Linked DNA regions of Arabidopsis thaliana. The protein of the gene in region 1 interacts with the protein of each later gene in a pairwise test. Each region holds a gene or a part of one and is shown on either strand. Other genes may lie near its edges.

Region 1 (7,688 bases):
ATCGCGAACCGCCTCAAATTGTTGTTACATCAATACAAGAGAGGCAACTCTCGCTGTCTTGATCATCATTTGGCGAAGAAAGGAACTTGACAAAGAATTCGTCTTGGTAGCTGTTTTTACCAAGAGAATGGAATTAATGTAGAATGTGGTTCGTTCTTCACATGGTTTTATTTTTAAGAGTATCTTCCCGAAGATGGCATCCGTTGCAGAGACCGTTGAAAGTCCGGCTTTAATCGCTTGTTTGACATCCCACCAAATGATCTAAACATCAACAAGAAACCGGTTTTTAAAATATATCAACTGACATTTTTATTTTGATAATCATATAGATATAGTCAAGAACAAACCGTGGAGATCCTTGTCGTTTATGCAGAGGTTGACCAAGCATTGATCTCACACTGGACAGTGCTCTCTCAGCAGCCTAAAGGTAAGAACGTCAGAGAAGGGAAAAGATGGGATCAGAATAAACCCGAGGCAAGAATTTAGTTGAGTTACCTGCATTCTAGCTTCGTCCCATGTCGATCCAACTCCTTCCCCTACAACACGCCCATCTATTTCAACCTGAAATATATTACAAAGAGTATCAAGAGGGGTCTACACTCTAGATACTTCAAACCAATTGAATAGATATGAAATATACTGATGGCCCTGAAGAGAAAATCATGAATCTTTCTCTTTTAACTGAAAATTGTCTATCTTAGATTTTTTTTTTAAAAAATTTAACACTTCTGTGTTCTAATCTTTTAGGGGTGCGAACCTGAGCATGTAATTCATCTCTGTGGACCATGTCAGATGGAAGCTGACGCTGAGATTGAAAAGCCATCTCAAGACCCTCCGATGCACACTGGAATTTGGTTACAGATGAATCAAAGATGAGAAAAAACAATATGTGAATGTAAGCAAGCAACCATATCAATCAACAGTATCCGCACTAAGGAGATACATACCAATTCCCTGAGTGCAGTAATGGAGCCAGTGTGCCTCATAGAACCTTCTAATCTCGGATCTGTAGGTCTAGAAGAAACTGGCAACGCTGTTTCATCTCTAGCAAATGGCTGATTATTAAGCGCATTTGCGTTTCCCATACTTATATTTTCATTGGTGAAGGGGGTAGCATCTCTGTGGCTGGGCCCTGGGTCACCATTTGCACGCATATATCCATCTGCAAAAAAAGGAGTAAGAACTCAAGAAACTGGAAACAAACGAACAACAATGAGTTTAAAGCCTCATTATAAGAACAATGTGAATGAAGCCGACCAATATTAAACCTGAGCCAACTGCCACAAATCCAAGATAGCTCTCACCCTTGTAAAGGGAAGGGACCCACAGTTTTGATATCATAACATACTGACACGCAACCGTTTGTGGTGGCAGTACTCATACTCATTGATATAAACCCATTTATGAGGACCAACACGAAGCTACAATAGATCTATTAATATTACAGACTAAACAGATTGGTTGAAAAATTGAGATCTACACCCAATATTGTGAAGATGGTTTAGAAACATCAAACAAATAACATTCACCCAATATAGCAGATTCAAACAATCTATCTCAAATAGTATCTCTGCAGACAAAGATTAAGACACGAGTAAATCATGAGTCAGAAAGTCTTACCAGCTAAATTCTGTATAGAAGCTTCAGCAGCCTTATGCAGGGCTTCTCTTCTCGATTTGCCAATCCCTTCTCCAATTTTTTGATTAGAAAGCCAAGCCTGCAAAAAAAACATAGATTTAATGTACAGTTGACACAATCAACAAAGTAACCTCACTCAAAGGAAATATAGGATCTCAAAGAGCATAAGGTTCCACCAAAATTACTGACACCATACAAACAGATACGTCTAAGAGCAATACGTACCTCAACAGAGAACCGCAAATCTGTACTAGAAACTAAACTTGGTTTGTACTCCACCTACAATGTCATGGAATAATAACACATCAACTCACGTATGGAATTAATGGTAATCATGATGATATTTACATACCTTAGCTCCACATTTGATAGCAATTCCGTGTAGAACATCAGCTGAAGTCTCCGTTGCTGAGACACTTCGTTCAGGTAGGAAGTCAAGATCACTGTTCCTAGAGGAAGATTGATTCCAAGACGCATCCTCCCCTAGAGAGTCCATCCCAATACCCAAGTCAGTGATTTATCTTCAGAACAAAATGATACAAGAACAAATAACTTTGATGGCTTACCATAGAAAGGATGAGAGTCAGGTAGATTGTTATTTGAACGTAACTGTTCATCTCTCCGGAGAGACTGCAAATATATCACAGTGAGCACTAAACGTCGTACAGCAGTATAAAGACCAAAAAAACTGACAACTGTAAAATCATAGGTTAAATAAGATTAGTGGTACCTCCTTTGGCGGCCTGCGATTCTCATGAAGCATCCTGTCAGACTGAGTTGAGTTATCAATCTTAGAAAAAAATGATGGATGACGAGGCCTGTGCTTTTCCATATGAATCATTTCAGAATCCAACGGATATTCTTTTGAGACTGCTCGACGAATTTGAGCAGGATCCATCTCCTCCTCAACAGGAAACCAGCCATTTCTTGATTGCACATGTGAGGGTGGAGCTTGAACTGGAGGTCTCTGAGGAAATGAAGGTTCACTTGGAGCAGGATCCCTAGTATCTTGTCCATGCTGCAATATGAGGAGTCTCCTCCTAGTATCTGGATCTAATTCTGATTCAGGTACCTCACCTTCCTCTCTAGCAGGAGAACTCTGCAAGCTTGGTTCTGAAGGAACCAAGTGTTTAGCTATTGATGTCGGTTGTTGAGGTTGTTGAAATGGAATACTTGGAAAGGCCATAGCTGAAGGTTGTATTGCTTGTTGCACGACTTGTACTGGTACTGGAACTGAAACAGAAGAAGCAGAAGCCATGGGGAACTGAACGGGAGCAGCTATCCTCGGATCTATATTTGCCGCCGGAAGGACAGCTGAAGATGCAGAAATTGCCTCCTGAATAAAACGGAAAAATGTATTTGAATTTCAACATTGGGCAGAAAATTTAAACCAGAAGCCATGTTTACTGGAGTTGGCATCTTTAATGGATCACCACAATAACTCAGTAACAATAGAGCCTCAAAATGTAAATCACCTTCAGTCTTCTCTCCACTTCAGTATCAGCCATCCCGTCAAAGGAAAGTGGATCTTTGTTCCCATTTAAACCCGATGTATCATCCTATATTGAAAAAAGAATGAGTTACTGGGAAGCAGTTTCAAAGGTGAGTAAAATAAGCTCCCAGACTGCCTGGAAGAGAACCAAAAAATTATCTACTCCCAATCGCTAACAAGTATCACGACTAACCTCCGACACCAAATAATGGCTGACATCAGGCGGAGAAGGAATATCCTCAGCATCATTCTCATAAGAAATTTCAGCAATCCTTGGTAGCAGACTATCATCAAAATCCCTGTAACCAAGTTCAAATACCATTTCACCGTAAGTATGTACTAAGGAAGCACCCTTGATCAGTAGAGATGTCAAGAAAACAAACTACTATTATCAAATCTGACATCTTACCTGAAAAATCCACCTCTGACACCACAGGCAACGTTCCTGGCAACACATAGTACTGGTGTTGCAGCAGCCTACAAGAAAAGGAAACGAGCTATATGTGACACCATTTATTACTGAAAAGTCAAGACTATCACTTCTGGTAGAAATTGTGCAACAAACCAGGCCCACAAAGACCCCTTGCGTAGAACTCACCACAAAGCTAGCTTATGTTAGGTCTTATAAGGCTTCATTTGTTCCATTCTAAATGACTTGTGATTCTTTTGATTAATAATATTCTTATCAAATTCACATGCTTCTGCATTTTTCATAACCAATTTCAACTAGGTAAAAATTATACTTACTTCAGCTTGAGGAGAATAATAGGGAGCGAATGCAGGAACCACATGTACCCTCGGCTGATCCTTCTCATCCCAAACTTTCAATCGATCATCAATTACCAATGCCATCTTTGGATGGCAGGTTCCATCGAGAAACACATTGAACAGTGACTTTTTAAAACCTGTGGTGGTTAATTACAAGCTTGTAAGAAGTTTTACCATGATGAAATATAAGCAGGTATAAGATACCAAAAAGTATACCAGATTTCACACAAACGATGCGAGCAAGCAAGTCATTTGTGTTTATCAAATTCCCTTCTGGATCAAGGAGCCTCCACATCTCTAAGGCGTAATCTCTTTCAGCCATCGTGCAAACATATACTTCAAAACGCTTACGCCCTTTTGCTGTCAAATAGCTTCGAAGTTCCTCCCATGAGGGCCTCATTCTCACAAGAACACTTGTATCACGAATCTGTGTGTAAATATAGGAATGCAGATTCAGCCACAAGAATTCAGAAAAATCTAGGTGCTCCAGAAAGGAGCAAATGAAAAATAAAAGGTTATACCACAAGTATTCAAGGAAATCCACCACACAGCACACCACCACTTATTGTCTTTTAAATGTGTAGTAAGCACTAAACATATATGTATACGGGGAACAGAAACTAACAGACATATACTGATTCAAGACTTGCATACCATTGGGTTAATGCGAGTCAGAATAATATTCTTCTCTTGCAACCTTATCAGAGGGCGAACAAGAGGCTGATGGTTGTCAGACAAGGCAGGAACAATTTCAGATTGCACCTTTATCACCTCCCCGTTTTCAACAACCTGGTCACTTTCAATATATTGCTTCAATAGATTTTTGTCATCTTGATAACGCTTCATCTCAGCCACTATAACGGCAAGGCGTTGAGGGTCCATCTCGTTGTTTATTCTCCGCTGAAACCCGTCAATCTTATCCTCAAATGAGCGCATGGTATTCGCCACTACAAGGGTTTCATCAAGATCAAAGACAATACCCAGACATCTAAGATTCAACATAACAAGACAGGAATCGTAAATTCCAGGAGCAACACTAAATGCCCAGAAACAAGGACGGTCATTCTTGATATTTTCCGAGTACATAGCAACCAAATGGAGCTCTTCTCCACCCAAGAGCATTACTGCTGTCTGCAAGAAGCAAAAATCCAAAACTCACAAATATGAGGACAATTTGTAACATAACAAACAACACAAGATTCAAACCCCCACTCTACTAAAAGTTTCTAAAGCCCCAAACTTGATGCAGCTCTGACATTAAGGAAGTTAAATAATGACACAAAATCCTATTTATCATTAAGTGTTTTTGAGTTTTAGTTGATAAAATCTAAGTCTGAGTAAGGCTTAAAGGTTCGTAAGGTTTAGATACCTTGTTGTCCCTGAGACAGGACGAGTAGAATAAACTGAGTGACTCCTGAGCTGGAGAAGGTGAAGCTTCTAATTTGAAACAAAGGCCACAAGATGAAATTGTAGTAAGTATTGCAAGAGGAGGACACCTCTCGCCAGATTGAGAAAAGTGGCTTATTCTGATTCCCATCTTGGCTAGCTCCATTACTTCCCTCTGTTTCTTCTTCCTCTGCTTCATCACATCATCTTGTTGCTGATTCAATTCCCTTGAAGGGTATATCTCCAATTCTCCAAGTCTTCCATCACCATGAAACACTTCTACTCTATTATTACTATACATACTTTCTTTTCTCCTTCTCCTTCTTAAAGTTTACAGATCAATGGATGTCTATTGTCTCATCTCAAAATTGGTTCATCAAAATCTAAACTTTTTGTTGTCCCTTGGCCAGAATTGATAGATTGATCACCAGTCCACACTAGTTTATGAATTGGATCCGAGTTTTTTTCTTTAGCAAGAATCAGGAAAACAAAAGGAAGATTTTTGATAAATGGGTAAATAAGAGAAAGAATGAAAATTTAGTGTTTGTTCCTTAAGATTTTGTTCCCTTTGAATATAGATCTGTAAAATACCGATGATGAATCCACAAAAAAAAACCCTAGTTTCTTTCTTCTTCCTTGGTTGATGATGAGTTTGTTTGTGTATCTGGGAAAAGTTTATTAGGTTTTGTGGCGTTCTAAAAATCGAGAGAAACCCTAGATCCAGATAACGAAGAGTCAAGATTGTGAATACGGCATTATGCCTTTGTCCTTGGTTTTTTTAAGGGAAAACAAAACACGAAGGGCCCCTTCATTTTCTTTAACCGTTCTTTTTTTTATTTATGTCTTATTTTAAAAACAATTAATACTATTTTTAAAAATTAATAAAAGCCTGAAATAGTTTTTATCAGCTCAAAACCTGTCAAATTCTGTTTTTTTTTCGATTCATACCGTACTTGTAATGTACTTTTATACTTGTGTTTCTGATCTCATGTTTTGATTTTTACAGTGTCAAGGATTCATATACCACAAGATATTTATAGTTCATCTAATTCTTTTTTTTTAGAAGATTATTTATTCAAAAGACATGATATTTTTGACATATACTTGTCTCTTTATTTGTGAAATATTTTTTATCTACCAAGCATGAATATTTTTTCACATATATCTTTCCCCTACTCTTTTCAATCTTTTCCTTATAAAATAATAGTTTAGTAAATAAAAAATGATTTATTTTGTTTTCTAAAATACACAACTACGTAAAGATAATTTTTTTTTATAGACAGTATTTTTTTCCTTGTTTAAAAATAACCGTTACGTACAAAAGCCGTTACAAAATTCTTTCCTAATGTCTTTTTTTTCCGTGTTCTTTCCTAATGTCTTATGAAAACAATTTTGAAACTAAAAAGGCACAATGTATATTGTTCTAATTGCATAATAAACAACCGATAACATACACCGGGAGTCGTGCTCACATTAATAAAATCTCAAAGTGAATAAAAATTACCTCAATTCATGTAAAAACTAAATTTTTACGAATAATAAACTAAAACATTTAAATTTTATTAAAAGTTTTGTTGTTAGTCAGAGAATTTTATTTAAATCTCAAATACCCACATATATACAATTTTGATACTTATAACTTTCTTCAAAATTTCAAGACATTGTGTAAACTGTAATTTTATAATTTTAAAAGTTCAATAGAACATTTTTACGAATAATGTAGAGTTAACTCGTGCCAACATTTATAGTAGTGTTTGAATATTGTTCCATACATTTCCTTTGAAATTTTCTATTAGTTACTAGTAGATGGTCTTCTACAAAACAATTCTTACACTCGAAGAAAAATATAAAGTGTTGGGCCTATTGGCAGATATATTCGTCTTCTACTTATATGGGCCTTATGCCAAACCGGAAATAGAATCAGAGAGAATTTCAGCAAACCGACTCTTGTTCATATACGTATATCCTCGATTTCCGTCGTTCTTCCTTCTCCTCTCAATCTCTCTTTTCACATCACCGATTCAGAGAGAACACCGAATATGACCGCCGATTCAACCGTCGCACTCGTTCATAGCGTCGTTTCTAACGGTGATGTCTCCAACGGAAACACCTCCGCTTCCTCTAAGAAATCTCGTGAGATTGACCGTCGCCGCCGCAGACGGAAGCAGAAGAAGAACAACAAAGCATCCCAAGCCGATGTAGATGCATCGGACGTTTCTGCTGCTTCTGAATCCAAAGAGAATACAGATCCCCAGCCACAGGTTAACTTTGTGCTCATCTTCTCGTACTCGATTCATGGAGAGGTGTTCTAGGGTTTTTCTTAGGGTTTGTGATTGTTTATCGTTTGCTGATGATTTTTGGTATATGTTTCTCTTTGATAGGTTTGTGAGCAGATTGTGATAGA
Region 2 (3,610 bases), on another chromosome or scaffold:
AAAATGTAAGTGGATTAGTATGTTAAAATCAAAAAAAAATGAAGAGAAGACATGCGAATAGCCAAAAAAATAGGCAAGAACTAAAAAGCACATACAAAAAGTGACGACACCAAACCAAACATCATTTAGGTATGGTTTTAACGTCTGCATCAAAGTTGCTCTGCGTATTATCTGCTTGAAATGACTCATTCAATAGTATAATCTAATTAATAGGAACACTTCAAATAGGTGAAATTTGACATCGAATTATATATTGTCTCCACATTTTTAAGTTACATGGCTTGGAATTATTACATATTTTCAGAAACTATTTGTGACGCAAAAAAATGTGATTTCATGATTTCATCGCTTGAATTTGGTAATTTCATTAAAATTTACATTTCACTGAATTTAATTGACATACGTAAATTAAAAAATGAAAACATTAATTCTACATAGAAATTTGAAACCAAAAAAAACTCTTAAAACATATGACGTATATCATATAACAAGATTAATCACAAATAAAATGTAGTATTAAATTAATTAGTTTGCTAGATTATGAAATTATAACATTTATAAAAATTACCGTTTTTTAGCATCTGCAAGTACAACATGCCCTAATTGTTGTTTTTATAAATTTCTTTGAGCACAATCTTTTGGCTTTGCCATCAAATAATTATGCTAGTTTCTTACTTGATGTTACATAACAAATGTGAACAAAAAAAAAACACAATTGACGATCTAAATATATAAAAAGATTCCTAAAGAATTCTCGATTGACTCTCTAATGAGTTCTAACATCAGAAACCCGACAATTCCGACACGACTCATTACGAAACAACCCAATCCGACAACACAAACACACCGCATCACTCTCATGAGCTCCAAACAACTCGGAACCCCACCGTCGAGTCGACTCAGCCGAGTCAACAACACTCACTTTCCGAGTCGACTCGTACCGATAACTCGGTCCAACAGAGAGTTCCAAATTCAACACCCAATCTTCCTCGTTCCCATAATCCTTCTCCGACGTCGTTCCACTACTCTCACAATTATTAACCATACCAATCTCTTCACGCACCGGTTCCGGTTTAACCGGTCCAGAGAAATCAAGATGTATAGTCTCAACGACATCGTTTTGAAGAGACGACGGAGACACGACGGATTCGTTGATCAGACGGTGAGAGTTTGGATCAATCCCACGGCTGAGAAGCTTCCTCTTGATATGAGTGTTCCAATAGTTCTTGATCTCGTTATCTGTTCTTCCTGGTAATCTCCCAGCTATTAAAGACCATCTATAACAACAACACAAAGTTTCAGAATCTTTCACAAATATAATCATATTCTTAAAAAAGTGTGAGAGAAAGAGACTAACTTGTTACCGAGCAAGCTATGGAGCTTGATGATGAGTTCATCTTCTTCTTCAGTAAAATTGCCTCTTTTGAGATCTGGTCTTAGATAATTCATCCATCTCAATCTACAACTCTTACCACATCTTTGTAATCCTGCACAAAGTTCAATCAAAAATCAAATCTTTACCTCTCTGTAAATATAAAGAAACAGAGGATGTATGAATAAGTACCAGCGGCGCGAGGGAGAGATCGCCAGCAACCTTCACCGTGTTTACGGATGTAATCAACAAGAAGCTGATCTTCTTCTTTAGTCCAAGCTCCTTTGTTCATGTGAGCTTTCTCGCAGCATGGTGATCTTCCCATCTTTGTTGATCTCTATATGTATATATGTATCTCTCTACGTGTATTTGGAGGAAATAGTGTTTTATTTTTTTTGCAAGGAAGAGAGTTCCTGTAGGATGGTGTTTTCGTTTTGAATGTTATTTATAATAACTACCTAACATTATTTTAATACCAAAGTTAAAAATAAAAATGTATCTAACAAATGAAATGATGTGTTCGTTTTTTTGTGCCTAAAGAATATTGTAACACCAACCAGAAAACACAAATTTGATTGTAGTACACTCACAGGAGGAACGTGGGTGGAGTTTCCTAACTTTTTTTGTTTTTTGTTTTCTGAGATGTAGATCGTACGGTTTTGGTTATTGACTTTTTGGCTCTTTAGAATCATCTCATCTGCTCAAAAAAAATATCATAATCATTTTACAAATTCCACAATTCATTGCAACATGTACTGTTTTTAACCATTCTTATTGCATATAAAAAAATATAGTCACGCGTAACTTTCGTATAAAAAGATCGATTATAAAAGAGAAAATAACTAAATAACGGTTTAAGTAATCACTAATCAGTTAGTGAATAAAGTGTTTTTAACATCATCAAATTTACTTCTTAGTTTCTGTAACGATTTTGTAAACTCGTTTTAATATCAATAAATTTGTTTAGCGGAAAATTAAACCAATTTTTTTTGCATTATTGAATTAAACAATTGTTTACTGCATTATTAACAAAAAAAAGTACTTAAACCTAATTTTGGGAAAATGTTAAAAAGAACAAAAAAAAAGTAGATCTGGGAGAAAGTAGGTAGATAGATTGGGAAGATGAGTAGGTAGCTGTCTTTTTTCATCTCTCTCTTCTCCAATCACTCTCTCCACACGCTACTTCCTTCACGTACCTCCACGTGTCCTTTCTTATGATTTTATCACATTCCTCTCTCCTTTGTCTCTTCAATTATAAAAACATGAATATTATTTAGATTAGTTGGATAACTGAATTATTGGGTTTGGGCATGTGTACTTGGTCCTTCTTCTACTGTTGTGTCTCTTAAGTTTTTTTTTATATTTTATTTTCGGATTTCACATTGTAACGACGGTCCAATTAAAGAATACATTTTTAAAATGAATTTACTAGTAACTTGTAAGGTACTTAAATGGTATCAATCAACATTGGGATGATTTTTCTTGGAAATTGGAATAACGTCGCTATAACAGGCGATTAGATAAATTAGTCGCATAGAATCGTATAAATGTTAAATGTTTTTGTCTCACACGCCCCATACGTATTTTAGTCCTTTGCACTTTTGCAGAAGTTATCAGAATTCTTTTCAATATTTAAAGAGGAGTTGAATTTTACAACAGTGATGTAATTCTATCTAAAGCTTAATTTCATAAGTTTATTATAGTTCTGTTTTTCTTTCTCAATCGTAAACATTTTTTCTTATATAGAAAACCCCGTACAATCTAACTACTATTCAACGTAATTTAACTACTGTTCAATCTTCAATGTTTTGTCATAAGCTAGTAATCTATGCTTAATTAAGAAAGAAACATAAGAAGAGTCATGAGCGGATGGGCCTTTTGTTCATAGCATTGTATTGGTCATGGGCCATTACTTGCAAAGCCCAACATGGCTAACCGCAAACAAGCTTCTAATTTCATCACGCTACGCCAAATGCCAAACATTGTTGTACAACACTTCTACCTTCTGAGTCTTCCTGACTATTGGCTAACATGAACTACGACGTTCAAAGAAAGGTTCTTCGGAGGTACACTGATCGATATGGAATTGGAATCGAAGGTTCCCTATGCACAAAAGAACATGGCGAAAACACGATTCAAAAAAACATAACGTCCGAAGCGCAACTAAAACTTAATATTTCGTGTTAAAAGCCAACTAAAAGTTACATTTCCGTTTTGTAAGCAGAAAGTGTGACTATT
Region 3 (5,144 bases), on another chromosome or scaffold:
TGACATCGATTCAACCTACTCTTTAGGCTTAAACACGTTTTAGACATATAAAAGTAAGAAATCAATCACGCATTCTTTTCGTTTGTCTAATTTTATGTTATCATAACCAGTAGGTTTACTTTTCTAAAATCGATTTAGATAAATAAATACCCACCGAATCGGTCTTCCCTATGACTCGATACTAATTGTCTTGACGTACCAAAACTAATTGTCCAAGAATAAACAAAAAGTGGCCATGTGTATCTACTAGTTGATCTAAATTGACCAAAGTTAAAAATGTTTTAGATATTTTAGTTAAAGTACAAAGGAGCCATATTTGGAGACCACAAGTTGCTAGAAAGTGATGGGATCGTGTAGGGTCAATGATCCCTAAACACCACCGAGATAAAACCTTTTCTTCTTCTTTTTCAGACTCTCCATCTTAATCCACGTTGGTCGTTGGCGACTTATTAGCAGCCGTTCACATCACATTTGTTCCCTTCTCACAAATCCAACCTAAATTCTCCAGGTTTTTGTATATAGTGAAAATATAAAATTAGACAAACGAAAATTATCATTTTTAATGAAATAGTAGGCGAAAAGTCTAATTTGCCTTTTCTTGGTAAGTTAAGTGAGAAAATAACCAAAAAAAGTGAGACAAAGACAAAAAGATTATGGGTTTCCCTTTCATATCAAGTAACCAAATAATAACAACAACAAACAATTTTGGCCAAACTTAATCAAAGAAACAACAAATCCTTGCATTACACACCTCCCCACATCTTTTTCCTTATTTCAATCTTCCTCCCTTCAACAAAAGATCTAACATAAATTCATCTATATTTTATACATTCTCACAATTTCATCCCCTCATCTTTTTTATTGCTCCCCCATGCCCCAAAATGTCCCTTAAAACGGAATCGATCCCTCACAATATTGGTTTGTCCATCAGCTCGTTTTCGGCTGCGATCCTTCCCGAGCCACGGCCGGTTATCCTACCGAATGATCCAATAGTTGATAGTCCCATGAAGCTGCTGCTTTCTTCGCCAAGGTTTATTGATCTTCTATGTTTTCTGAATTTGGAGGAGCTAACATCACCTGCCTCACGATCAACAACAACAACATCATCTAGGCTTTTGCTCTTTTCGTTGTTGTTGTTGTTGTTCTGGGCGACGACTAAACATGCAATGGTGCTTCTACAGAACGGACAGACCGGTGGAGTCACGGTTGAGGTCGTTGGGTTTGGTTTGTTGTGACAGCACAGTGCAAGTGTGCATTGTGCACACATTTGGTGACCACAGTCTTTAACTTCAATTGTACATACTTGCTCAAAGCAAATGCAGCACAGTTCCGTATCACTCACCTATAGACACATTTACATGTTACTACAATCACAAAAATTACCGAGCCACGGGGAAAGTAAAGAGTGTAGTATTATTACCTCGGACATGTTATCATCCGTGTCAGAGAAAGAGGGTGATGGTAAGGAATAAGCTGTTCCTTTGAGGATGGTTTTCTCTCTCTCCCTGTTAGCCTCCATTAAAGCCTGCTCTAAGAGAAGTTTCGCCTCGTCATTAAGCTCACTGATGAACTTTAATGGTGATGGCCAAACAAGTGGCTCTGCAGAGGACGGATTAAGTAAGGCTCCACATGCTCCATGCTTATGCTTCATCGCAACCACATAAGGTATTCTCCTGAAAAGATATTTCAAGATTCAAGTTATGTTCTGAAACCAAAACAAGACTTTTCCACAAAATTTATATATATACCCAGAAGCGTCTCGTTGAAGACGATCAGCACCCCAAGCAAGCAACTTTCTGACACAATCTATAGATCCACTTCTAGCTGCTAAATGAAGAGGTGTGCTTCCTGGAGAACTGTTTCAACAAAAGCTTAAAGAATCAGTTCCAATAGAACAAAACATCTAAGAACTGTTGATTTCAATGCATGACAAGAAAAACCATTACCCATATACACTAGTAGATGCACAAACAAGAGAACCACTATCCAACAAAACATTCACACATTCAGGTCGTCTCTGTCGAGCAGCTAAATGCAACGGAGTCGCTCCTTTATCATCTCTTATGTTCACAAATCTCGCATATCCCCTGAAAATGAAAACCCCTGAGTGTCAAAAGTTTCATTCTCAGGAATAAGTAAACTCTGATCAAAGATAGGAAGAGACTTACCAATGGACAGCAACAGGACTTGATTGAGCAGCAGAGAGAATAGCTTGAACACAATTAGCATGTCCATAATAAGCAGCGTAATGCAAACATGTTCTTCGATTCACAGAATCAAACATCAAAATCTGCAGATTCCAAAAGATTTTCAATTACCAAATCCAAAATCGATTCAATTGCAAAACAAAAAAGTAAACGTACATTAGCTCCAACTTCAGCTAGCTTCTTCACACAAGAGATTCTTCCATACATCGCAGCCAACATTAACGGAGTCTACAAGACGAATCAAAGCATCAGCAAAAGATTCATGAAAACTATACACAGAACAGATCAATGCGAAAATCAAAAACCTGCTTGTGACGATTCAACAAATCTGGATTCGTAAATCGTTCCAAAAGCAATGACAAAATCTGCAAAAAAAGTAGATACATCAGAAACAAAAATACCAGATTCCGACGAGATTCCGGCGAGATCTCGGAGAATATCACTGAAACTAACCTCGATCTGACCATTAGCAGCAGCGACATGAAGAACAGAGTGACGATCATAAGGAGTAGTTTGATTCAACAGACTAGGCTCCGTCGCCATCACACGACGGATAGTGATGATATCGCCGCACTGTACAGAGGCGAATATTCCGTGCTCCGGTCGACTTCCACAGCTCATACTCTGCCCCATCTCTCGAAGATTTTGGTTAGAGCTCTGTGTAAAGAGATGGTGATTGATGGAGGTTTTAGGAGAGGAACAACGACACCGTCTGCCACCGGTGAGGCGCTCCGATGAGAGAATAAAGCGCCACCGTGACGGAGAACGGTGGTTGTGTGAGAGCTTTTAACAATGGAGAAGAAGAAGAGGGAAGAAGATTCACATTTATGTACACATTGATAGAGTCATTTGTTGAGAAGATATTAATTTTTAAATTTTTTTTTTGTTTTTTTTATAAAGTTGATTAAAAAAAAAAGAGAGAGACGGAGATAAAGAGAGACGACTCTCTATTGGAGGATTTGCCCGACGGGCAGTTTTTTTTTTTTTTTTTTTTTTTTTTGCCCGTTGTCAGTTTTGTTACAGTTACTTGTGATTTCGGGCAGTCTTGTCAGATATTTTCTATTTTTATTTTGAGGCCATTTTTTTTTTCTTGTAGCTTTTTTCTTTGAGATTAATTATATTTTCTTTGATTTGCCAAAAATAGGATGGTTTTGTCCACAAGAAACTGATTTTAATGAACAAAATTTACAAATTTACTGTTTGAGTGATCACCACATCTTAACTAAGATTCATCATAGATATGTTGGATCAAATTAGTAAAATAACCGGACTTCCAAAAAAATTATTATGATATGAATTCGTGTGATTTGATCTGTATAATGAGATCCTAAAACTGTGTTTTTGAACAATTTTTCAATTTTTTCGGTAAAAATTTGGAGTCGATAAGGCTTTTAATATACATGTAGGGGGTGATATCAATGTTACAAACATTATGTAAATCATGTTTTCTGATCCAATACAACACATTAGTTTAATAAAAAAAGTTTGATTATTTCACCATTGTCAAAATTAGTCATAGTAAGTCTTCTAGATCCTATACTAAATTATCGATGATTGTAGGATAGGCGATTCGATTATTGGAAAGGGAACAATGTTAGGTGTTTTGCTAGATGGTGTGAAGAAAAATTTTAACACTTAAGTCACAAATAAACAAGAAAAGAAATGGTAGTTTATGTACAAGCTAGTTCAAAGGAAATTTAAAGTTTAATATGCTATTTGTAGATTCTAGTACACAATTTTTAGAATTGTACTAGAACTTCGGGAAAGCTAATTCGATCAAAGAAGTTTTTAGAAAAACAAATTTAAATAGTAGGCAGTTTCGACAGAAGCTAAAGCAATTTAGTTTGGTTTGAAATAATATAAATTTATAAAATGACATGATATTCTTAAAATATTGTACATATTAAATTACCTAACTTAATGACTATATCTTCATTTTCTCTAATAACACATAGTTATTTTGATACAGTATATATATCATAAATTTTATTATTTAAACATAAATGGTTCCAAAATGATTATGCACTCTTCCTTGGATATTTAACAAAAAGAAACACACTCATATGTATACTATTCATGGAGTATTATATAGATACAATATCTGCATATTATAACTAAAAAGCATATAAATAATTTGTGGTCAATATTATACTAAAAGCCAACAAGCAGCCCACTTGAAATTTTCTCATCGGAGTCCAAGTGGCCGTTTGATGACCTTCGCTTCCCGATGTGGACTTCGACATCAAATCTCGAATGCTTTGTTTCACTTTTTTTCTTCTTTAAATTCAATATTAAGAGCTATTTTATTAGATTCCTTATTTCAGATTATATATATGTCTATTGTTGATATAAGCTGGTAAAATGTTTTGGGTTAAAAAAAAATATATCATTGCAATATATCATGCAAATCTGTCAGCCATTTATGTACGACTAAGATCTGTCATAAAATCTCGTGACTATGATTTTATATGATGAGGTTGCATATATATTTCTCTTGTACTGGATGTATCGTCCTCGTACATAGTTTATTTAGGTAGTGGTACCTATCTAAAACTTTGATTAGTCCTAACGATTTTCTCCTAATCGTTGAGAACTTGTCCGTCTGTGTCCAACTTGCAAATAGGGTCTTCCTTTGAAAGAAGAGCCTTAACGACAGTTAGATTGGAATATGGATGATCTCAAAACATAGAATTCAGAGATTGTAAAGCAAATTATTTGGGTTTATATATAAAAAAAAAGAATTACGATTGACGAATCACCAATCATTACTTGGCATAGAGTTATAGACAAAAGCATCTAACCAAACCTACGTACGTGTCTCTAATATTGTTCTACTACTATACTGTATTAATTACAATACGACATTTCAATCGAAAATATAGTAACGTGTATTTGGAATATTGGCCCAAAATTTGTTGACCAGAATGGCGTTTTTCT

The links.
Region 2: the proteins of CPL1 (region 1) and MYB3 interact in a two-hybrid assay, tested with the Arabidopsis thaliana proteins (one study listed by BioGRID).
Region 3: the proteins of CPL1 (region 1) and XBAT31 interact in a two-hybrid assay, tested with the Arabidopsis thaliana proteins (one study listed by BioGRID).

The regions. Positions count from the first base shown.
Region 1 is NC_003075.7:11,509,408-11,517,095, reverse strand, and holds the start of CPL1 (C-terminal domain phosphatase-like 1), read right to left. Parts: upstream 6,108-7,688; 5' UTR 5,586-6,107; coding exon 5,268-5,585; intron 5,030-5,267; coding exon 4,553-5,029; intron 4,326-4,552; coding exon 4,115-4,325; intron 4,036-4,114; coding exon 3,878-4,035; intron 3,608-3,877; coding exon 3,540-3,607; intron 3,430-3,539; coding exon 3,324-3,429; intron 3,198-3,323; coding exon 3,114-3,197; intron 2,975-3,113; coding exon 2,369-2,974; intron 2,269-2,368; coding exon 2,205-2,268; intron 2,122-2,204; coding exon 1,991-2,121; intron 1,918-1,990; coding exon 1,864-1,917; intron 1,718-1,863; coding exon 1,621-1,717; intron 1,163-1,620; coding exon 948-1,162; intron 845-947; coding exon 758-844; intron 562-757; coding exon 496-561; intron 422-495; coding exon 348-421; intron 262-347; coding exon 174-261; 3' UTR 1-173. Other genes in the region: AT4G21660 (proline-rich spliceosome-associated (PSP) family protein), read left to right, coding at 7,324-7,545, 7,666-7,688. UniProt on the Arabidopsis thaliana protein: Processively dephosphorylates 'Ser-5' but not 'Ser-2' of the heptad repeats YSPTSPS in the C-terminal domain of the largest RNA polymerase II subunit (RPB1). This promotes the activity of RNA polymerase II.
Region 2 is NC_003070.9:8,004,376-8,007,985, reverse strand, and holds MYB3 (myb domain protein 3), read right to left. Parts: upstream 1,923-3,610; 5' UTR 1,698-1,922; coding exon 1,565-1,697; intron 1,564-1,564; exon of another isoform or gene 1,488-1,563; coding exon 1,358-1,487; exon of another isoform or gene 1,325-1,357; coding exon of another isoform or gene 1,278-1,324; coding exon 767-1,277; 3' UTR 526-766; downstream 1-525.
Region 3 is NC_003071.7:12,376,238-12,381,381, reverse strand, and holds XBAT31 (uncharacterized protein), read right to left. Parts: upstream 3,111-5,144; 5' UTR 2,841-3,110; coding exon 2,661-2,840; coding exon of another isoform or gene 2,573-2,660; coding exon 2,513-2,572; intron 2,436-2,512; coding exon 2,364-2,435; intron 2,291-2,363; coding exon 2,169-2,290; intron 2,088-2,168; coding exon 1,947-2,087; intron 1,857-1,946; coding exon 1,749-1,856; intron 1,674-1,748; coding exon 1,421-1,673; intron 1,343-1,420; coding exon 908-1,342; 3' UTR 573-907; downstream 1-572. UniProt on the Arabidopsis thaliana protein: No E3 ubiquitin-protein ligase activity observed when associated with the E2 enzyme UBC8 in vitro.